Neodiprion lecontei: one gene and its partners. Each later gene encodes a partner of the first gene's protein in a complex. Links are inferred from orthologs where the notes say so. Each region holds a gene or a part of one and is shown on either strand. Other genes may lie near its edges.

Region 1 (10,041 bases):
TTCTAGATATTTCGGTTCGACTACGTGCAACATTGGCCGCTGACTGTTACCAGTTTCATCTAGCTCTTTCAGGCAGCCAAGTATTACTAGCTGATTTTCCAATGGCGCGATACCAGATATATAAAAATCGACTTGGAATGCAGAGACTGAAAGAGAAATTCAAAAGTTTCAGTTACTTCTTAAGGAGTTTGGATTATAATGGAGTTGGTGGTGACAATTTTATTAAAACAGAGCACAGGAAATGATCAAAACAGGTACCATACCAGGGTCGACAGCGTATTCAGATAGATCTCGATTCGCCATCTCTTGTGCTGATCGTTTGCGTATTTGACAAATTCTAACCGTATCTACCCAGCCTATTAGCAGCGTTCTATTATCAGACCACCTTAAGTTGCATCTGTAATGTTCGGGTGAAGCACTGAAATTGAATCACAAGAGTTGAGGGTCGCTGCAACACTTTTTAAATTTGCGAATAATTTTGAGGGAGCTTCAATGATAGCTAATAGGTGTAAAAGTTCAGATTTGACATAGAGATTTCACAGAAGAATGAAATTCATAAAAACCTAAAGTGGCACAATAAGCAAACGCAAGTGAACAAAAAAATTGAAAATAAAAATACTCACTCTATGGATCGAGTCCACTGTATTACTCCTAAGGAACATTTAGCATATAAATCATATATTCTAACCCCAGTATCTGAAGCCCAAGCTACAAATTGACCAGCCCAGGATATGGATCGTACACCACCTTCAGCTTCACATAAAACTGTAGGTTTGATCCGCGATAAAAATGTCTTTTCATATAAAATTAGTTTACTGTCACCTGAAATTTTGCAATGTAGGAACTATCAGCATCAGATATGTTGTCAAACGATTGAGTTGAAAGAAGTTGAAAAACTCAGATAAAAATGAAATGCTGCATTACCCGTTAGGAATCTTCTACCGCTTCCATTTTTGTAGTAATAAGGGTCAAGCGCAATACTTTTGACCAATCTTTCCATGCTCATGTTGTGGTTATTCTCCTTGCTATATAGACCATATATAACAACCTTTCCATCGTCGCTGCAGGATCCAATGAAATCTCCATTCTGATCTATGGATATTTGATTGACGGCAACGGTATGGGCTTGAAGAGTTTTGGATCGTATTCTGTTTCCTTGGTGATCCAATATATGGATCATTCCCCAATGCGAGCCCAGGCAGAGAAACTGAAAGTAGCGGTACGTTAGGACTCTCTGTACCCTAACCTGACCTCGATGCGTACTCGCACATTCTACTGCTTCGTGCGAAACAAAGCGAATGCGAGGAAGATAAATGAGAAGGAATCATCGCTGAGCGGACATGTGAGGAATATGAGGTATGACAGAAGAGGCGTTAATGGCACCTTTGGGTGAACAGCGATGCAGCTCGCGGCATCATTTTGGAGGATACTATCAAGATCATTTCTCATTCGGACGTATTTCAATCGTGGTTCAACCTCTTCCACATCAGAATCTGAATCATCTTGATTATGTTCTTGATCCTGAAAATAGAGGAAAGTAGTTTCAGCTTTAACTTTCAACTCACCACCCTCGATTTCGATACAGTTAATTGGGATTTTGTTTGTCCATAGAATAATAGGAGAAGATCGATTACGTCTACGTAAATCGGGAACGATAATTACATTATTTACACTATTATTCATCTGTGGTTAAAATTTTCAAATAATTTTTTTACGCAGTCACGTAGCAGCAGCAACACGCCAGAGAATCAAAATATTGGTCTTCGCATACATGGATGTGACACATACGAGTTTCGTGTGTACAGCACGCGAAGATGTGTCATTTGAAAAAAAAAAGGCACAGCAGGGATGGAAGGGGGATGACCGCTGATGACAGATCTATGATTACGTGATCCGACAGACGGTAAAAGCTGTTCCAAAATTGTCCCAGGCGATTTAACGTTCTCGACTATGGGTGCGTTTCGAAATTAACTGGCAGCGCTGAAATCTCGCTAGAATAGAGGCAGAGCCATCCACAGACTCGGCAGCAGAAGAGAGATAAAAAATTGTTAACAGCACTGAGAGCTAATATTTGAACGCACCCTATGACGTAGAAGATAAGGGTGTTTCTGCGCAACACTCTCCAAGAACCAATCGTGTGCCTGGACCATATAAAGGCCATCTTGCAGTTCAACCAGTGGCTTCAACCTTAGAGCATGTCACGGATTTAATTAAGCACCTCTTGTGATGTAAGCCCGTATAGCGCACTCACCCCCAACCCCATATGATCTTACGATTCACCGTTTGCAAACCTTTTCCTTGGATTTAATGTCGGTTGAGATTAGAAAAGCAATCACTCGGTTTTTACTGATTTTTAGTCACTTTAGATGCATATTTTACGAATTTACGGAGTATGTTTATAAAACGAAGGCTTATAGGTTTCGCTTGCCGCCCTTTTTTCTACATTTTATAGCGAAAATTTCACTTTTTTCCGTAAGAGGCGCTCAAATCGCATTTAGACAATTCCTCTTACGTTACCTTAAAACTGGGGACAAGTTTTATTGCAGAGTGTTGTCTCCTTCCTACTACTCAGTGGTAAGAATGAAATCGAAAATAAATGGAAGGATGGAAATTTTATTACCTATATTGTACATAAAACATAAATTAGAAGTTATAATTTAAAAATAGGAATAATACTAATAAAAACATTAAAATTAAGTGATTGAATATGAAATGCTGTTCATAATTTTTATTAGGTGACAAACATGAATAATGCACGCAAGTATATGCTGTATGATAATATACTGTTATATGGCTCACGGTCTTACCATAGATTTATAAAGATAGACTGAGCGCTCTTATGAGCCGCTTGAAGCAAACATTTAAAGGACAGAAATATGCCGGGAGTACTCCTTTCCCTCTCTAACGATATTTGTGGCGGGAATCGAGGCGGTAGAGGAGAATGAGGCGAAATTATGCACCTATATCTATAGCTGTTCCACTTCCACTGCTCCGTTGTCTCCCGCCATGACGCCGATTGAAAAGAGAGAGCAGTACTCCCAGTATATCTCTGTCCTTTATGTGTAATTGTCAGTGCCTCTTACAGGAGCGCTTAGTCTATCTTTTTAAGTCTATGAATCTTAGGAGTGGTCGATTCTAGCGGCACAACCAGTTGTCGCTGCGGTCTAGTTACTAGCAACAATAACGTGATAAAAACGCGTGAGTGAGCGAATGCCCATATACATATATGCGAAACCACGGTCAGCCCCCTGACAGACGCTCACGGTCTTACATACAGGCAACGAAGGTAATGGGGGTGGTTCATTTCACGGCCGGTTATGTATCTCACTTTGTGGCCGCCAGGCCAGCGTTGTGATCGAGAGATAGATAATCAACGCGTGCGCAATGCAGCGCCAACGTAATAATAATATTGTTATTGGCACATTTTTATCCCTACCATCCCTACCCCACGTACATCCCTAGATAGCAGCGCTGCGACATGGCTATTTCAAACACTAAAAACCACGGACAGCAAGAGAACCACGCCGCTCTGTAGAAAATTGGCTTCGTTGCCAGACCTGTATGTAAGACCGTGCACACGCTGCTAAAAGTGGTTCGCAAAATGTCCCTCGATTCTGCCGCCAATCTCCACCACTGGTGGCGCTAGTAGTTGTCTAAAAAGCTTGCGTGCGATCAGCGAGCGAGCGAGCGTGTCAAAGGTCTACTAGCGCCACGTAGAGGAACTAAAAAAAGGGGACAAAACGCGTACAATTTTTTAGTATACGAGCAGTGGTGAGTGTCAGGGGCTGTCTGAGACTGTTATTAACAGAAGATGTCAAGATGGCGATGACGTCTCGCAGTTTTCGGTTAACCTAATCACGACAACAAATACGTAATTTTATTATTCAAGAATTGTACATACGGTTTATTCGCGTTAAATGTTGTTAAAATGAATCAATGCATGGCGTCGATTTTTCAGCAATTTTCGAAACGTCGTGTTGACCCGCCTAAGGTACTGTGAAATAGTCTCAACCGATGTATTGATCCTGTCTCAATACGTATGACAGGCTAAAAGTATCACTAATTCGAAACTCGACAGGCTGTATTTACCTTTTGATTAATTATGCGCAATCCTCTATCGACGAGAACAATGGAGACTAAGGTTACAAGCAAGACTAGCAGCCTCAAGGCTCTGCTATTAAGGGCTTGGCGTGAACGTTGGAACGACTTACAATGGGGAATCAATATAAAAACTGTACGTACCGCTGAATTCTGGTAATCAAACGGCTGTGAAAATTTCACATTTGACTTAAATTTCACTTGTTATCAGATTTTACCAAGAGGTGTAAGCGGAGATGTCTACAATTTGGCAGATTGCATTCTGCAGCAGGCTTTAGTGGGCCCCGGACCAAATCAACTGGTGTTATCGTACTTAAAACATTCGCTGAGCTCGCAGGTTTGCCCGTTTCTTTTTCTCCTCAAATTCGAAAGGTGATATTCCAAAAATCTGCTGACAATAATACATCACATTTTTCAGTTAGTGTCTTACGCAGCTGTTCTACAAAGGATAAGCAAATACGGTGCATTTCACAAGCCGCACTGTATCATAAGCCTGTTAGAATTTCTTGAAACAATTCAAGTCGGTATAACCTGTCGAGGAAAGCCGGAGGAAGATTTATTAGCTGCCTCTGTACTTTCAATAGTGCATTGGTTGCTGCTGTGTTATCTCCACGTGCTCAAAATACCCCAAAATAATCCATCACTCACCTATCCCACGGATTTGATCGATAAACCGGCGAGCATTCTGAAACAGATGATTAACTCCGACTTCCTCTGTGCCATGATGTGCCTAGCTAAGCATGATGATAAAGGTAGAACAGATTGAGATTTGATTTTGGGTGTAGAAATATCTGGTACCCTGTAGAAATTAAAACTTTCATTATTGTCTTTTTTCAGAACTTTATATCGAGGTGGTGAAAAAGTGCCAGGACATAGAATCTCTTCAGAAGAATAGTACAGTAAAGTCTGCAGTACCAATTGAGAGCTCGTTGAAACAGCTTTGCAACCTTGATATAGAAACATTGGCTTCGCATTCCAAGAACAACAAAAAGGAGCCGATCACTTATTGCTTGCAACCATTATTCGCTGTTCAAGTCTTGCTTAATCCAAGCACCGAAACCGCAGTTCTGGTCAATCAGCTCCTGATGATACAGAGAATCAAGGGATACTCCAACGCCAAGTTGTATTCGGAAATTATTCGCGCCTGCTTCATGTGTCTGCACGACGTAACCGGAACTTCCAAAGAGTCGCTATGGGGTGCTTTTACGTTTTTGAAAGTACCACACATTTTGAAAGAATTAAACGTAACGACTTTCAGCGGTGAGAGAGCATTTTCTGTATACCGTATTGTTCCGAGTATAAGCTGACCCCAATTCCGAGACAGTATTTCAGGGTGTTTTTCTTAGTTACCCACACATAAAATGGGTCTATGTATAAGACGAGGAGGATGTTGCCAGGTGCTATCAACGACAAAATTCCTTGGCTTATATTCAGAACAATACCGTATAATAATACAGGATTGCATTTTGATGGTAATAATACTCGCATTTCTCTCGATAGGTGAAGAGAAGTTGGAGTACTCCCAAGACATCTTGGACGCCTTTGAATTGCTGCTCCAATTTACTCCTCTGCTTGATATCATGGACACGGCTTGTTCCTGTAATTGCATCGAGTGCCTGCTAAACGAATTACAAAAAGTCAATTTGGTTACTGAGAAACAGGCGAAGCAGCTTAGCAGCCAACGGTAATAATTTTTATAACAGGTTCAAAATGCTCTGCAGGGACAGGGTGCTGTCTTTCGAATAGAGCTTTGGCTTAATATTATGCTGTTATCGTACTTTTCTGCATACTGGTGTTTCTATTACTCTTATTTTCTTTTTTTCTATTCTATGTACTTGCGCTTGTCGGCGTCACCTATTTCTCTACTGCTAAAATTTTATAAGTGGGCCAAAATCCCGTATAATATGAATAAATAAATAAATAAATAAATAAATATACAAATATGTAAATATAAACAACATTCCATGGTTGACGGAATTTTCACTTTATTGTTCTGTATTACAGAGAAGGTGTAACTGCAGCATTACAGAAATTAGAACCATCAGAAACTCCCAAGCCATCAATTCCAAAAGTAATAATTCGCGCGGAACCAACTCTGGCTGGAATTCTGAAGACTCTCAATACAGATTATACGAAAATTCAGGAAGCACTGCTGAGCATGCTGTGCCAGGTACTGACTGGAAAGAGTTTCGAATTAATCTTGGCCGTTGCAACTGTCGAGGGAAAACTGAAAACCTTCGTCTCTAAACTGATAAAGTTCAACGAATGTAGTAAACAAATAAACGATGCTGTGACAGGGAAAATGGCTGCGACAAGAGCAATGCTTTTTGATGTTTCGTTTCTAATGCTCTGCTCTATCGTTCAAACATACGGATCTGAAGTGAGCTTGCTGATACTAAAACATTGAAATCCAAATCCTCTTGATTTTGTCTCAAATTTCTCTCTCCTGTTGGCTATTCAGGTGGTTCTTGAAGAAGACGGTGATTCGTTCTTTGAACAATGGGTCCGAGAGTGTATGGCAGAACGAAACAAGCCCAAATGCCCGCGTCGGATGCTCCAAAACGTTGACGCAGCTCGAGTGGACACGTTACTTGCCCAAATCAATTCCCCGGATCCAGACTTTAAGTCTAGTAACATGAAATGGCACATCGCTTGTCGCTCGGCCATGGGCGCTGTCAAAGAGCTTCTCTGCGCCTGGGAAAGTGGAGCACTCGGAGCTGGCGATGTGAAACGCGCCTTGGACGGCCTGAGAGCAGCGGCCTGCTGCTTGCCGGTATGTGCAGCAGCCTGGCTCTGCGCTCACGTCAGCATAACGCATCAAGATGCGCTCTTGAAGCCCATGAATATGGTTCAACAATTCCTGACTCCTATTTCCAGTGACGAGATGCAGGATAATTTCAAAGAAAGGTAAAATTGCGTCGATTATTCACGTCGACTCAAGGTGATTCGAAATTAAATTATCGCTTCCTAATTGATCAAACTCTTTCAGATCAAGCCTAATGTGCCAAATAATACGTAAAATGCAGTACGACGTTCATCCTCCGACGCAATCCAAGACAAAGGTGCTTTCAATGTCGCACAGGTAATTATGAAAATTTTTTTAGTTATTAACCTAGGTCTTGTTAAATCATTTCATTTTAGTATAATATCGCGGCAGCCGATATCTGAGCAGTTGGAAACTGTGTGGCATGGAATACAGCAAAGGGGTTGGATCAACATCGAAGCTACTCAATCGCTAGAATCTTTGTTGAACACCGGCGGTTCGCTGTGGTTCGTTTCGAATTTGGTCAAAGAAGTAATGAAGTACAGATACCAAGAGGAACTGGATCAGGCAGTGGATTTGACGTTTGCAGTATTTCACTTGGACATTGAAAACTGCACCTTGGACCTGCTGCATCACGTCATACCTCAGTACCTCTACAATAGATCGCAGTGAGAATTTTGTGCCAAATATTTTGCGGCTTTCGATTGCTCAACTACTCCAACAAAAGCGGGAGTAAAATAATTCCAAATTTCAGGAGAGAGGAGCTAGTCGAACCTCAGTCTTCTGTACTGGCGAAGCTGTGCGTTTCGTGTATCTATTCAACCTTGGAGTACAACAACTCGAACCCACCCAGAGGAAACAGTCGTAAGCGTGCAAGGTGCGAATTAGACAGCGAAGAATTAGATGCGATCGGTGTGCCGGCCAACAAAATATTGAGACTGAACGAAACGGGGGACTCGAGTTCGATATTTGACACGAGCTCTCCTCAGGCTCAGGGACAACCTAACGGGCAGAAGTCTATTCGCTTAAGAGAGCCATTGCTTACTGCGCTGAATATGTTGTTCAAAACTTTTACACTACTCGCTGGGAAGGATGGCGAAGTATCACAGCAGACGCATTTCATCCTACAATTTCTACGGTTCATCGTTCAGTGCGGCAAGGACAGGACAAAAATCGTTCTACAAGGAATGCCGCAAACTTTGGTAAGAATAGGTCATACGAAGTGAACCAAGTTTAATTTCCAGAGTTATTTCGTAAACCGAACGATATTCTTCTTTTAGGTTCCATGTTTGCTCAAAGCGCTGCCCGAGTTATTTACGACTGATTTATTACTCAAGTTGTACGATATTCAAACAACAGCAGGACGAAAAGCCACTGCGAGAGATTTATGCATGCTGCGGAACATAAATCTGAAGCCTGTAAAGTAGAATATAAGCACAAAAATGACCTGTACATCCTGTTACGTTTGTAATTATTATTTTTTTTTTTTTTTTAAATTAAGTTTAGTCTCTATCGATCGAAAATAATTACTTTCCTAGTAATTCGATTACAAAGAAATTGATGCCAAAAAAAAATCAATTTTTTTAAAACTTACTTAAAGTACCTATAAAATTCTTTGTTTTCTGTTCCTCCTACAAATTGCTAACTCTACTAAGTTATCTGAGCGAGTGCAGCATCCATTTCGTTCGGTTCCATGTTCCTCATAGAATCAATCATGTCCTGGTGCCTTCTCGATTTCTTAAGTCTCATATGTAGTCTATCGTATATTTTCTGCATTCTGTCATTGTAGCGCGATTCTTCTCTCTCCGCATACTCTCGCATGTACCTGTCATATTCTGCCTGCGATATTTACAAGTGAGAAAAAAAAGTAAGCACCAGCATTTTAGCTTGAACCATAGACTGATGTGAAAAATCAAAGACCTGAGTCATGCACGGCATATTCGTCCACTTTTCTCTACGTTTTTTTAATTCTTCTTCATCTTCTTTGATTTGTTGTTGTAATTCTTTCTCCTCTATGCTCCTGTCTTCTTCCCTATCCTTAAGTTCTTGTCGTTGAATTTTATATTTTATCATGTATTCTTTTTCCAACATACTGGACAGAACTCTGCATTCCTCCCATTCGACAATTTCTGAATAACTCACCCCGCAGCAAGTCGAGCACGAAAATCGTTCCGCAATATTGGGATCAATTTCCTTCTAAATCATGTTACGTATTAAATGAGTTAAAAATTATTCTGAAATAGCAATTCTATAATTTCTCATTAGTTGGCTACCTTGTCTTCACGACAGCAGTATTTACAATTTCCACAACACTCTCTGCAGTATCCGTTGTCATATTTGATAGACAATTTTTCCGCAATATTTTCAGCAATGTAACGACCGCAGACTAAATGAACGAGATTCAGAGCGCACTGAATCGTGTTCGGACCACCTCTGCAGGTAATTATCTTACCTGAAAATTCATAATCCAATTTTAATCAATTTGTTTCCCCTTTTGCTGATACAATTCGTGGATGACAATTTATTATTACCATCCACGTGTACGTCATCGTCGATATATTTGTACTTCATGTATTCGGATCCTTCAATTTTGTATTTTATCAGCGGATGACACGTAAAAGTTCTTCCAGCACCTATATAATGCTTACGCAGCACCGGCACAGCATCTCCTATTGCGACTATCCACTTGTGGCTGTCCTCGAATTCTTTCAGCAGTTTACCAACCAATTCCGACTGCAGCAATTTATTATCTAGTTTACATCATTCAAATCTTACAAAATTTTATGTCTTACCTCTCCAAGCGATTTAGCTCCTAACAAACCGCCAGGTAGAACAACCACGTCGAACGATGGTTCTCTCAAGGCATCAGAAAGCGCTGCGTCTGCATAACAGAATATGTTACTGTTACCCCGTATGCAGTCTGAATCATCCAGACTTGCGATTACAACACTGATCTGGAATCAATAGCCAATTGAAGGTCTGCTATATTTTTAAAGTAAAGAAGTACGACACTTAATTCAGAGTTAGTCTCTCACCCCAGCCCTTCGCATTATATCGGCCATTTGAACTATTTCAGAAATCTGTGCATCTTCAGGCATAATGATCAACGCACGCTTTCCATTATCATTGAAATTGTCCAATTCAAGCTTCTTGTTGTCCGTCGACTCAATCACCTCTAC
Region 2 (7,707 bases), on another chromosome or scaffold:
AAATGTCAAGTTCGAATTTGCAGTAACTAGACGCATGGATATTATATGTCAAGGTATAATATAGTAATGTATGTGGTTAATTTGGGTCTAAATCAGTCTACTCTGGTATATACATATATTTAGAAACATCATGCGTAAAGAATAAATACAGTTGAGTGTGATTTTGAGAAAATGATAAGCTATGGATAATATCAAAGAAAATATTATTACATAACACTTAGCATATGGTACAAAATTCTAATATATGACAAACACGGTTGCTCTGATTCATACATATATTGGATGTGTGTACACATATTTATATACTAAGGTGTTTTAAGCAAACACAAAAAATTGATGATCCACCTTCTACCTGTCAACTATGCTGTTTACAGTGTACAATTAAACTTTTCATACTGTAAGGCGCAGTCGAAATTTCAATTGACTGTAACTTTGTTGTTGTAGTTTTTTTTCCCAATCTAATACCATATATAATACACATTACTGTAAAGGAAATTTTTTTAAACATCGCTACACTTTCTATAAAAACCGAACAAAATCATTTGTTGACGAGAAATTGTTCAGATTTTCGATACATCGTGAGTAGTTGAAGGGGAAAAAAAAATATATAGTACGGATTATTTTCTTATAAACCCTATTATATTCGTATTTAGATACCTACCTGTACATGTATACATCTGTATAGAAAGGAATCTGATTCTTCGAGTGTTGAATATTTGTTGAGCAAAGTGCTTTTTGATTATAAGCAGAAACGTGTGGAAATAACAATTATAAATTTTAATGCTGAGAATACATAGCGTGAAGTTTGTTTTTATTACAGCACCCGTATGTGTAGTAATAGTAATAATAGTGCATTATTGTAATGCATATAGTATGTATACCTATATGTATGTACATACCTATGTATACGCGTGTATAACTGGCGAGTGTGTTGTACGTTTGGATTTCTGCAAATTGATCATTCGTAATATACATAACTAAACTGCTGTGAAGTAATTACTAATTAACAAACCACATAGATTTATTATATACGTATAATAAGCCATCTCACAATATTAGATAGATGATAAAGTAAACAATGTATGTGTTGATATGTATCGCGAATATTTGCATGACCCATCGCGCGTCATGTAAATATTGTGCGTATTTAAACGACACGTGTGCAGCGTGGTGGGTGCGTGGCTGAACAGAAGTAATAAATTATATGAAAGTGAAAAACTATGGCCGTGCTCTTCGTATTGCGATGTATATTTACGTTATACTCGAATCAGATACACGTGTACGAAGGAAACCCAAGAGCACATGAACCAAAAAGTGTGCAGATCTTCATTGATCATTAAAGAGACGGTCTATTGTTGTCCAACAACCGTTATACATTTCTAATCATGAATTCGAATCCCATTGTTGATTTTTTATTTCTGTTACGCAGTTTAAACAATGCATGTGTAAGTTTCTCTGAATTTCCTCACAAAGATAATAGAATTTCGAAATTGTAATCCCCCAAGTTACTCGATGGTACGCTGCAATCGCCATGTGTCCTTACCTGGTATACCATTGATCAATATTGCCAATTTGAATGCTTCAGAAATTCAAATTTTACTAATTATTCTATACAAATCTTATTTAGTGTTGAATTGCTTGATGTATACTCCTGCTAAAGACACCATTTAGATTTGTTTTTAAATCGAAGCATACACATTTGTAATAAAACGACATACCCCTATGACTAGTACTTTGTGCCTCGTTGCGCTTATTTATCGTAGTCATGATTATGGTTGATATTTTTACCATTATTAATATTATTCAAGCTGTCCATGAGGAAAACGTAATAACTACGTCGTTTCAATTATAATTATAATATGAGCGTATGTTATGTTATGATATCTAATGTATGTAGCGACGGACGAGGTAACAGGATGTGCTATATAAATATTATTATGTGAGGGTGAAAAAATGACAATTGGGTGCAAAAGATTATTAAATCTCAAAGAGTGTATTTGTTATAACAATGATTTCAATGTGGGTTGTCTGGTTATATCAGAGAGTATAATTAATATTTATGCGCCTATATTATGTAAAGTTTTGTACGATTTGGTGAATATAATAATAATAGATAATGGTTTACTTGTGTACGCCGTAAAAACGGGTTTGATGATAAAATGATAATTGTTTCGTTACAGGTGCAGGGGTGTGGTAAAATTTGGTATAGTCAACGTCTGGGTGAAAGTATAATATTGTGTGGTTAAATTATTCGTTCAAGTACACAAAGAAATCAATGATACGTATAACCATGGTTATACTAATTGGCAGAAAGATATTCGTAACAGTCTCATTTGACTATCATCGTAACATAGTTATTCATTTCTGGATGGCATTTCAAAATTCACCCTGTGAAAAAAAGCAGCCATTTACGTTACACCTGTAACTATTTAATATCAATTCGAGTCTGTCGCAAGGGAGGATGCGACGATATTGACATAAGATATAACGATTTAAAACGAAATTCATGCATATAAACGCGTAAGTAGATACACACAATATATGTAGCCAAAGTTGACCAACAGTGTAAACAATTGTTATGTATATTTTATCACTTGTGTAATTACAAAGCGTATCAACATATATTTAATCTGAAAAACTCTACGGGGAGAACCACTCTATATACGCGTATACAAACGAAGAGAAAGATTAATTGAAATAGTTCTACATAATATAATAATGATAACAAGAACACAAGTAATTTACCATTATTCTAATCAAATTTGCATCAATTGTAATTGGAAACAATTATTATCCCATGATTATATATGATTTAAAAAATAAAAACAAAGTAAATATTGTATTTGAGATTAAATGAACCCTTATGTTTTAGTTTCATCTACATTACTGTGAACTATAACAGCATAATACGGATTTGTAAGATTTTTATATTCTTCCGTATTATTGTCAATGCTCTCTAAAAGTAAAAAAAAAAAAACGATTTATTGTGATATACAAGAGTAAACAGATTTTACATTTTTTGTAATGAATGGTCGCAAAATTAACTTGAAATAAGTGATACCTTCGGGAAAAACTGAGTCCCGGTTTAAAAAACTTTGGATAAGTAAGAGAATTGAAAATTCTACTTTTATGATAGATTATCATGTTGTTTGCACTCAAGAAGAAAATACAAATCAGGAGCTAATAGATACTAACTTTAAATTTGACGCATGAGCGACATCTAGTTCCACGCTGCGACTACTTGAGCATAGATGTCGACACTATCTCGAAAGCACGATCAGCTGTTCTATCCGGAAATTCTAGTGTACAGGTCAGTGATTCGAATGATTCTGACCAAGGTACGTACGTCTAAACGCTGACAGCGGCGGTAAATTGTAATAATTAATCCGATCATCGAAGTTCAAGTCCTCTGTAGAAATGCAAAGAGAAGAAAAACAGTTGGACTCTGCTCTGGAGGCGATCATTCTGCGAGTAAGTGATCTAAAATCTGCAATCGCCGGAATGCTTTACAAACTGGAGCACGAATATGAGACGCTGAACTGGCCAAATTTTCTCGATAACTTCGCTATTATTTCGGGTCATGTAAGTAGTTGGTTGAATTTCAATGATCACTTTCAGCCGAGATAACGAATAACTAATAAATAATAAACAATCGTAAACGTTGTTAATCCGCAGCTGACGAGTCTTTCGAAAATTCTTGGCCACGATAAGGCACCAAATATGAGAAATTTCACGATATTGCCACTGCTCTTGAGTCCGGAAAAGGATGAGGATCTGCTCCGAATGACAGAAGGTAGAATATCAACATTCGCCCACGATTTGGTACCAGACTATTTGAGAACAAAACCGGAGCCGATGGCTGAGCAGAAGATGAATCACCTAGAGCTCAAGGCTTCCAATCTCACTTTCGAAGCATCACAGGTAAATTTATTCATTCTGAGTACAGATGTATGCAAATTCTTTGCTGTTTCGACTTCCTTTGCGCTTTTGTCGATCACTCTGCTCCCCTTGCTCACAGTTCTATTTCACATGAAAAAATATTTGCTGATATTCGTGTAATTAATGAAAACAATTGTGTAATCTGAGAATCTTTCGGAAGCTGCTAGTTCGTAAAATTATCTTGACGAGTTTGTATCGAGAATATAATACATTGACCACAAAAACTACAGAGGTTATTCTATTTCTCTGTTGATATGCAAACTAAACAACAAGTAGGATTCCAATGTAAGCCACTAACCATAGTTGGTCAGAGATTTCATTTTTGTTCCATTCGCTCTAGACCGATGTCACCGATAAAGCAGATTATCAAATCGGTAACGCAAGCTGTGATTGGCAACCTTTTATCAGCTCGATGTCCTCCAAGTAATCGGTCTATCTGGCGATTGGAACTCACCACCAGCAGACGCTAAATCGTCGGTACTAACAGTAACATAATTGACTTTCAGAAACAAGTAGCACAGTACAACAAGGTGGTTAGTCATGTATGGGACATCGCATACAAGGCCCGAGAAGAATGGGAGGGCGAAGCTGGTGCCAGAGCTGCCCAGGTACAAACTAGCAGTTCCGCAGATACTCACACCTTAGTTGCTGCAATTGGCATGGGTAAAGGCCTTAAGGTAATTACTGATCACTCATCACAAACCTATTTCATCCATAGTGGGCACTTATTTATTATCATGTTAGCGATGCCATAGTCACTGATATTTCGCCCTAATAACAATTGTTTTCTTTAGTCTGATTCTGGACCGATGGCTCAGTCCAGAGTGAGTCCAGGACCACCGGGTATAATGGCTGGGAGATCTGGTGGCCAGGCACAAGCTGCTGGGCAAGGACAAATAGGAGGTGCACAGTATAAACATTACTTCTATTGCACGCTTCAAATTACTCTTGGAATTGTTGAATGTAGTTCAAATCCTGATAAAGAAACAGTATTTTGGATAAATAAATTTACCTTGTTTGCTATTGTTTTAAGGATAAATTCCACACTGATTAACAAGAACTGTGTACATTTAATGTTTTGCAGTGGGCCAAATGGGAAAAGCTCCAAGCGCAATCAAGACCAACATTAAAGCAGCTTCACAGATTCATCCATATGGACGCTAGAGGTTTAGTCGGGAGATTTTTGTACGCTTTTCTCAATTGAATGTCATATATATGAGGAAGACTATGAAATCCAGTATTGCATAGTGTTTTTGGTGAAAATATCCTTGTTTCCTATTATAAAAGTTTTATCAATTGACTCAAAGATTGAGGATAGAGTGAAGATGTGAATTGTCTTGAAGCTGATATTTCGTTTACATGGAAAGTTTCAGCCTTCTAGTTCAACAGAATTCAAATATTACAAAATGTATCGTTTCAGTGAGCATCTTTACTTTAATTATTCACGCTGTAGACTGCAGACGATGTACACTGACTCACATGTTACCTAATTAAAAATATAGGTGTACACACAAGTGCGCCAAAAACGTTCAATTTCATCATTTTTAAATATCACCTGCATTTCGCGAAAGTGAAAAAAGATAATACATTAATATTTTACACCGAACTTGTTATTGATGAATAAACTGCTCCATTCAAGGCAAATGAAGTATAATTTTCACGGATACCCGTCTTGTGCGTACAATCAGTTCATTCTAAAATCAACTTTACACTGGGAATTTTAGGAACGATGATAAAAATAAAGATTTTTCAATGACAAAGTGATTGACCAGAATATTATATCTATCTTTATTGACTTGTCAGATGGAAGGAGAATCTAACAGGCTTTATAGTACGATCTTTTATTCAACGCCTTAAGAATAATATATATCCTTTAACCTGAGTTATATCTTAAAATACGATACAAAAACATTTCAAAAAGTATTTACACTTCGATTACTTTTCACCATACGTACATCTACATACGTAACGTACTTGAAAACGACCTTAGTATAGTTCAACAACCATTTTGAATGTGACGCTCAAAATGTCATTCATTATATTCTAGCGTATTGTCGTATGAAAATATAGTCTATTATAAATAAAATTAAGTCACATATTCGTCACCTTTTGATCAACAATTGTCACTAGTTGAAACCCAGACCCATAAGTTGCGTCAATGTTAATTAAATAATTACATCAATGAAAATTTTCGATATAGACAAAATCTTTTAGAAACGTTCCAGGTGAGAAAATTAGAATAGCTTGATATCACTAATAGACAAGATCAGGAAAGCGAAAAAACAAAATTGAGAATAGTGTCAGATCAAATTGTTTCACTTTTTAACATGTGTGATCAATTACCGGAAAATTTCACTGCATAACACATGAAGTCTGAGTTTCATTGTTCGTCAGTCTTGTCGAACTATCATTTGATAAATTGACCACTCAACAACCAGTAAACTATAAAATTATTGAAGAATGTCCTTACCAGTTTTCTTTTTTTTTTATTTATTTTTTTTTTTCTTTAGAACTAAGGACTAAGTAGGGATCGATTTCGCCTAGCGTTAGGCGTGTAAAATCCCCGAGGATCTCCATATACAGGTTCAAACGCTGAGAAAGGTCTTAGCGATGTGTTTGCACTCCCCGGACTTGGAGTGCTAGTAACTTTGTTTCCACTTGGTGAAGTTGGCGTATACGTTTTCTTTATGGGCGGTGGACACTTTTCGGCTATTGAAAAAAAAGAAAAAATTAATTTTTCCATGCAGCACAAGGGTCGCAAAACAAGTATTGTGAACAACTGTAAGTTTAAGTAAATTAAGGCAGAAAAACTAAAACTTTATTGACGTATAAGACTGCCTTACAATACTTAAATCGATTTACAAGCAGCGGTTGAGGTAGTTACCGAAAATGGATTTATTTTTCACTGAGATGTTGATGCTCATCATTTTACTTCCATAGACTGAAAACATAAATGCATTTGAAAAGATGTAGATTAACAAAATAATACATTCGCATGAACTGGCTTGAAAAGTTACTACTTGAAATAAGAATAAAATAGACTCACTGTAGAAAAAGGTTATTACAAGAGCAGTGAAGGTCCCAAATGTATATCTATGATAGTAAGCATAATCCAACCAATGTATGCCACTGACTGGGGCAGCTTGATCATACTGTGACACTCGAACAAGTATCTGAAATTGTTTAGGAACACAGTAGTGATAATATGTTGAAAAAAATGATGATCGAAAAAATAAATGACTAAATAAGCTCATTGAAAAAATGGAAAAAATGAGGTCACAATAAGCTTCACTGATGTAATTTAATAAAACGTCCATGACAAAAGTAACTAGTATCATTATTAAAAATAAGAAGAAAATGAATGAAAATGATACTTATAAAACAGATGTATCAATACTAAAGGACATACAATATCCAATAGCAAAAACTATGGATTTGAAAAATAGAAAAATGATTATCACATGCAAAAACAATACAGATGTTGATGCAACTCCTAAAGTTTTATATGAACAAAATTGTCGAAATTTTGATGTGGAACCAGAAAAATTGAAAAATCCATGAATCAAAGTTGTCAATATCAAGAACGATTTGAATGAAGAACAATTAACGATTGATATAAATAGAAGAAATTCCGATGCAAGTGAAGCAGGTTGTACCATTGTTTGGACATATGCACCTGCAGATAACAAACGAATTGTAACCCTCAATTTCACTACACAGTATGGACAAGATTATAAATATTGTAATATTATCCAAACTTTCCATGTC
Region 3 (6,067 bases), on another chromosome or scaffold:
TCTTGTACTAATGACTTGTTGTCTACAATGAGCGTTTAAATTAATATCGACTGTTACATATACAGCTACTCAACCTAAATTACCCACTTTTATAGACAATGATGAGTCCTTTTTGTTAGGCATATTTTGCAACAGATTAAAATCTTTTCTAGGATCACAAGGACATTCCTTTTTATTCTTCACATGTGGTTTCGCTAGTAGAGTAAGTTTGAAATTTTCTCGTGGCTTTGATACCTTCCAATCAATTCCTTAAGACAAATATAAAAATAACAAATTTTATCACTATATGAGATGAAACATGTCAATAGTGAATCATTAATCAAGATATAATTCGTATATTCGCCAATACGAGTGGCAATTATCTACTAAAAAAAATGTCTTACCAGTAAAATCAGGAAAATCTTGGAATAGTGTGGACCGTTGGTGTTGAAGCCAACTAGGTGGCTGAGATGTCTTGGATTCATAGTCACACTGATTATTTAGGCTCGGCTTTGCCAAACTGAATTGATTGTCAATTTTAAGATTCACACACTTACGATGTGGTGGACTGAAGTTCCACTCTCGCCAAGTCTAAAACAAGTAATCACGTCTGTACAGAAATATTTATAAATTTGGTCGTTACAGCTGTTGGCAAAAACGAATTACGGAAAAATATTTCACATCCCTGACAACCTATTAGATGCAGTATGAAATTGATTTGACCATAATTTATATACCCGATATCATGATAAATTACTGAAAAGTAGAAATACTAGAGAACTATACTGCATCTGAAAATTGTCATCTTGTGACACAACTATTGGATATAAACTTAGTAAATAGAATTTATAAATTAAAATGTAAATAATACGTTATTTTGTCCGGTTTCGTTGCCGCATTCTACATCGACGCACAAACGAAGAATTATCCAAAAAATCCAAATAAAAATAGTCAAATTTCTCTCACTCATGTTTCCTTCACGTCGGAACAGCAACTGAACCTTCAGAACTGTATCGTACTGAATATTTATCATTTTTCCGCCAACGACTACGAGGAAATTCATGGTGTACAATGAAACCTGGTTTGTCCGACCTTCGATCAACCAAGTTTCACAATATGAGGCAACGGACTTATTCGAACACTGTAACATCGAGGTGTGTGATCGAATACAGTACGCATATGCCGTACGTGCGAAGTATTTTGCGATTGCTACTTTGTTGCTTATATGTAGCAACAATGCTTTGTTCCCCAGAGATTGATCTACGTTCCTTAGAGTTTCACTTTCATGTACCTTTGTGTTTAAATTTCATTCTACCATATCAAATTCGTAAAAAATCATTCAAATCTTCACATTTTTCATTTCTTCCGTGTTATGCCAGTTTTCGCTTATCCGAGATACCTCCTCCCCACGTTACCTCGGATAAACGAGGTTTTTCTCTACGGTGAAATTTCAGGACTAGAAATATTGTCCGTTATTGAGGAGTGTCCGATATTCAGAACAATATTAACGTGTAAATCATGCTTCTGGAAATTTTTAGATATTTTTACGACATTTCGGTACGTTGTAAAACGAGTTGGGTTTAGGCGCGCGGAATATATCTAATTTTGGAACGGACGTTATGAAATAAAAAAATAGGATATACGTATATCGAATTGCTTCACCGGTATCAGCTCCAGATTATGGAGATTTTTTTATCCAGATAAGGTCGGCGTTTTTTGGATTTCAACCTTCTTAAATCTTCTTTATACACAAACAAAAAAAGAAAAACAAGAAGTAGAATGAGATCATTGGTTTTGAGAATCGAACACCAGATATCATTTTTCATACATCCGTTCCGAAATGTCGTACGTGTGTTAGCACGCATATGATCGACATGTGTACGTGCTGAAGTCAACGTCAAGTCAATGGACCACGGCGGTGAGGCAGGGAAGCCGATAATATTTCGAGAGCCAGACATAAACATTGAGATTAAACGGGTGACGAATCGAATGCGGTGGGTCTAGAGAGCGGGTGTCAAAGGGACATTACGCAACGACGCCTCGGAGAGTTCACACCGATTGAATACCGTGCATATCGAGCATTACTATACTTACGCGGTTGCAAAGCTTCAATATACTTGTATTCACACATTTAACGTAGAATTTTAAGAAGTATTCCATTGAATATTACAATGTACATTTAATACGATTGACATTGTAATGTATTCGAAAGATAGCTTCGTTATCCTATATATATTATTTCCTACAGTGCAAAGTGTGTCAAAGACGATGGGGAATTTTTTGTTTTACATGTTCACGCAAAACTTCGACGATAAATCAAAAGAACTGGTATTTGGGCTTGTGGTCTCATTTTCATTTTTGAAAGACGCTAATCAATATCTCGATATACAGGAAACTCGATTATAGGTTATAAAGTAAGAATTTCAATTAATAAACTGTAAACAAGTTGTAAATTGAACATTTGATCGTACCCATGATCGCGCCATATGAGGCATGCCGATAATAGAAGATTCGTATTCAACGCGTACACGTGATCCGTCACTGCTTTATTAGCATTCCTATTGGTCAAGAAGTCGGCAGCAAAATGCTGTGATTGCTTCGTGGTATTTTCCTGCTCGTGAAAACCTAGTCTAGATCAACGCCAACGAGAAGTGAATACGAAAATGTAGTAAGCAGTGTACATGCGTTTTACTGTTTTAATTATGTTTCATAAGGCTCTCTCTGCCAAACTCTAACAATAAACCAAATCTGACACCCGTTGAAAACGCGTTCTCACTGGGCACTGGCGGGAAGGCGAAAAACGAAACTGTCAGGATCATGGTGGCAGTGTGGTGCTGCGTCGGTAAGTATGTGACTTATAATATCGATATATGCGTCGTACAGATTGTCGTGAGAATGGTGATAGTGACAGCAGCGCAACACGAGCTGATATAGTCAAAAGTCAAGAGTAACGAGATATGATGTGATAATGTACGTAAATTTACTTCAAAAAACAAAATATGCATCTGCTACATCTGGTTGATTATTAAACTTGTGTACTTCCTCTCTGGCAATACCATTGCGTTTGGAAAAGTCCGTTGTTGATATTAGGTGCATCGCAAAAATGGCGGATCGTCTAACCCAATTGCAAGACACCATAAATCAAGTAAGCTTGCCGTAAAATCAATTAGCCGGCAAACTCATCACGATAATTCGATATTATTATCCTTACAGCAAGCTGAACACTTCTGCAACAGTGTTGGGATCTTGCAACAATATTCTATGCCTACTAAATTTCCGGGATTTGATAGAATTGGAACGCCACAACCTCATCAGACACAGGAAGGTGAGTTTCAGTAATCATTGTTTGTGATCATTCAGTTCACAAAGCATATTTTGGTTTGACTTTTTTAGAATATGCGACTCTATTTGCTACGCTGATCGCCCGATGCGCCAAAGATATTGATACATTGATAGAAAGCCTTCCGAGTGAAGATTCTTCTCAGGAACTTCAAGTAGCTAGTCTGAGCAGACTTGAACAAGAAAATCAAGATGCTGCGGAACAGCTAGAAGAAACTGTCAGACAGGGTGAAGCTTTGCTTCAAAGAATTCAAGCAGCCCTCCAAGACATTGCGCAGAGTCAGCTGGACATGCAAAATCCTGCTGCTCCCACAATTATCAATACAAATTTAAATCCTCATATTAATTTTAAACAGGAAAACTTTGGTACTATCAATACAATTCCTTCAAGTAATTCACATCAACCACCAGATCCATCGCCGAACTCTATGAGCCAGTGATATGAATTTTGTCCGATTTACATTTAAGAAACTTTAGCCATTATCAAATAAACATTTTTCTAAATGCCTAAGCAGAGCTTATTCATTCTAGACATATCTTTTAAGAGAGAAATCTCTCAAGAGAAGCAGTATCATTAAACAGATCGCTAACTAAAAAAATCTTGGTGACTAATGTCACAAGATTGGAAAAGAAAAATATAGATACATGTTCATAAAGTTCTGTAAATTCATTCAGGTAAAAATGGTTAGATAATTTACTAGAGTTTCATGATCAAAATGTTCGGCAACAAGAAATAAATTTCGAATAAAACATACCATTTTCCATTGGCTTTTTATAAAATGTTTACATGGGACTTTATTTACAAAAATATGAGAAGGGTGTGGTTGATTGAAGGGGGATGAACAGTAAGGTGACAAGAAATTAATTGAGCGTACCCCGACATTGGGGTGCGCCACACAGACACGGAATTTTATCATCCTCCAACGGAAACTTATAATCATAAGTAATTTCTTCGTTCACACCAATTGGTTGCTTGCTGTAGATCACAATCTTCTTCTGGCTTTCAATTGTTATTACTTTAGCATAACAATTCGGCTGTAACAAATCATTTACCATTATATTGCTTTGCAATAATTTAGAACTGAAGATAGTAGAAAAGCAAATTGAATTCCAAAGTCTTAAAGACTTAATCATCCATAAAGTGTCAACTATTCAAGCGAATACACTTAAAAATTAGGTATAGTTCAAGTAACAAATTGAACTCACGTTGCAGCTGTGATTAATGAATCTTGCCAAGTTACCACATTTCGTCGCATCGATAATAGTGTCAAGATCAATACGAAACAGATAAGAGCTACCAATGCCTGTAGCCTCGTACTGAGTTTCACGTAGATCTGCGACCACTGGTCTCACCATCTGTCCAACATATTCTATCACCATTTCATCAGCAGCGATTGGTTCCATTGCGAAAAGACCCCAATCGTGAATACCGGATTTGGCGAATTTCAGTTGCTTCTTTCGGAACTAAGTAATAAGAAAGCCATTCAAAACTGAGTCACAATGTTCCACATAAAATACATGATAATCTGATTGACAGATGTAATGATACTCCAATCAATATTACCTTGAGCTGATTGAACTTCAGTAAATCACTGTCAGTGTCAATGCCAAAAGCTGTTAATAACCGCCGCTGATTACTTCTCGCCTCCCGTGATAAGGCCTGCATTTTTCCAGTTAATGCCTTAGCCTTTGTTTTTGGGCCATTCATTGTGCCGTCACCACCCAAATATGGTCCAGTACTATCCTCTATGTCATTACTGCGCTGTATGCTTTGAGCATAGTGATGCTAAAAATGAGAAAATAAAACAAAGATAACATAACTTTCTCTGCAAGAAATATAGTAACACAAACTTACTTTGTGTTTGGCTTTTTCGCGTATATCAACTTTGTAGTAGCCTTCTGTCCGAGCGCTTCCTGTAGAATGTAATCGTAACTCGTCTCGTTTTTTCCTTTTAGCAGGACTTGGAATATCCGTTGCAGGATGGTCAACCCAATGGGTGTCATTCAGCCAGTATCCTTGGTTGTCATCTGCCAGCAAAGCTTCGTAGCTTCTCCTCAAATATTCAACATCTTCTGCATCTATTCCTTTTGTTAGAAATTCATAAAGCACTCCCATTTCGCTCATTAGATCCCGTTCCTTGTACGTTTTAAGTGGTTCCTCGAACTTTCGTGGTAACGGTTCATACGCGAACTCATTTTCGATGTTTTCTTTCTCTTTTTCATGGTTTTGGTGTGTATGGAGTTTGGAATATTTGGGATATTTCTTTTTAGCAGTCTTATCAGACTTCTCTTTCAGTTTCTCCAATTTTGGTGGCTTCGTAAGTTTCGGTTTAACAGGTACAGGTAGACTGGAAACTCGGGAATCGGATATGGAAGGTTGTGGTGGTGCTGGCGGAAGTGAATACGAGTGCTCCATGTAAACTTGAGATGCCTGAGAGCCAGGAGAACTTGGACTGTGCTGACCATTCAGACGCAAATCTGTCTCTGCTTGGAATCTATTAAAAAAAAAAAAAGAATGCATCATGGTGATGAACACAATGAATTGATCAAAAGACAGGGCTATCCGTTTGGCCAAAAAACATTGAAATAACTTCTGTAGCTCGATTAGAAAAAAATAACTATAACTTAAATACTGCAAATTTAGTATTGCACATTGATTTCATTAATCTGTTAGTATTTCATTTTTAACAACATACCGTATCCTCCTTATTTCCAGGCTTTCCTCTTCCGAATCTGTCGTAGGTATTTC

What was found. Proteins that work in one complex are often made in the same cells at the same time.
Region 2: mediator of RNA polymerase II transcription subunit 24 (region 1) and mediator of RNA polymerase II transcription subunit 8 share a complex: the UniProt entries of both Drosophila melanogaster proteins name them as parts of the mediator complex. The link is inferred for Neodiprion lecontei from reciprocal best matches to the Drosophila melanogaster genes MED24 and MED8.
Region 3: mediator of RNA polymerase II transcription subunit 24 (region 1) and mediator of RNA polymerase II transcription subunit 21 share a complex: the UniProt entries of both Drosophila melanogaster proteins name them as parts of the mediator complex. The link is inferred for Neodiprion lecontei from reciprocal best matches to the Drosophila melanogaster genes MED24 and MED21.

The regions. Positions count from the first base shown.
Region 1 is NC_060263.1:14,885,730-14,895,770, reverse strand, and holds mediator of RNA polymerase II transcription subunit 24, read left to right. Parts: upstream 1-3,753; 5' UTR 3,754-3,871; exon of another isoform or gene 3,872-3,958; 5' UTR 3,959-4,102; coding exon 4,103-4,234; intron 4,235-4,309; coding exon 4,310-4,435; intron 4,436-4,516; coding exon 4,517-4,850; intron 4,851-4,935; coding exon 4,936-5,358; intron 5,359-5,598; coding exon 5,599-5,782; intron 5,783-6,102; coding exon 6,103-6,478; intron 6,479-6,559; coding exon 6,560-7,005; intron 7,006-7,087; coding exon 7,088-7,180; intron 7,181-7,239; coding exon 7,240-7,530; intron 7,531-7,616; coding exon 7,617-8,064; intron 8,065-8,142; coding exon 8,143-8,289; 3' UTR 8,290-8,567; downstream 8,568-10,041. Other genes in the region: vacuolar protein sorting-associated protein 41 homolog, read right to left, coding at 1-146, 264-418, 624-822, 925-1,207, 1,384-1,521, 1,663-1,683; Parkinson disease protein 7 homolog, read right to left, coding at 8,711-9,058, 9,136-9,314, 9,394-9,595, 9,655-9,816, 9,898-10,041. UniProt on the Drosophila melanogaster protein: Component of the Mediator complex, a coactivator involved in the regulated transcription of nearly all RNA polymerase II-dependent genes.
Region 2 is NC_060264.1:26,414,488-26,422,194, reverse strand, and holds mediator of RNA polymerase II transcription subunit 8, read left to right. Parts: upstream 1-3,079; 5' UTR 3,080-3,417; coding exon 3,418-3,582; intron 3,583-3,675; coding exon 3,676-3,921; intron 3,922-4,215; coding exon 4,216-4,224; intron 4,225-4,445; coding exon 4,446-4,616; intron 4,617-4,733; coding exon 4,734-4,842; intron 4,843-5,023; coding exon 5,024-5,103; 3' UTR 5,104-5,469; downstream 5,470-7,707. Other genes in the region: nuclear pore membrane glycoprotein 210, read right to left, coding at 6,452-6,648, 6,824-6,880, 6,986-7,112. UniProt on the Drosophila melanogaster protein: Component of the Mediator complex, a coactivator involved in the regulated transcription of nearly all RNA polymerase II-dependent genes.
Region 3 is NC_060262.1:34,978,376-34,984,442, forward strand, and holds mediator of RNA polymerase II transcription subunit 21, read left to right. Parts: upstream 1-2,860; 5' UTR 2,861-2,949; intron 2,950-3,052; 5' UTR 3,053-3,082; coding exon 3,083-3,124; intron 3,125-3,192; coding exon 3,193-3,304; intron 3,305-3,372; coding exon 3,373-3,758; 3' UTR 3,759-3,829; downstream 3,830-6,067. Other genes in the region: uncharacterized protein LOC107218980, read right to left, coding at 88-248, 384-570, 851-1,129; histone-lysine N-methyltransferase SETD1, read right to left, coding at 4,180-4,353, 4,525-4,782, 4,883-5,104, 5,174-5,813, 6,015-6,067. UniProt on the Drosophila melanogaster protein: Component of the Mediator complex, a coactivator involved in the regulated transcription of nearly all RNA polymerase II-dependent genes.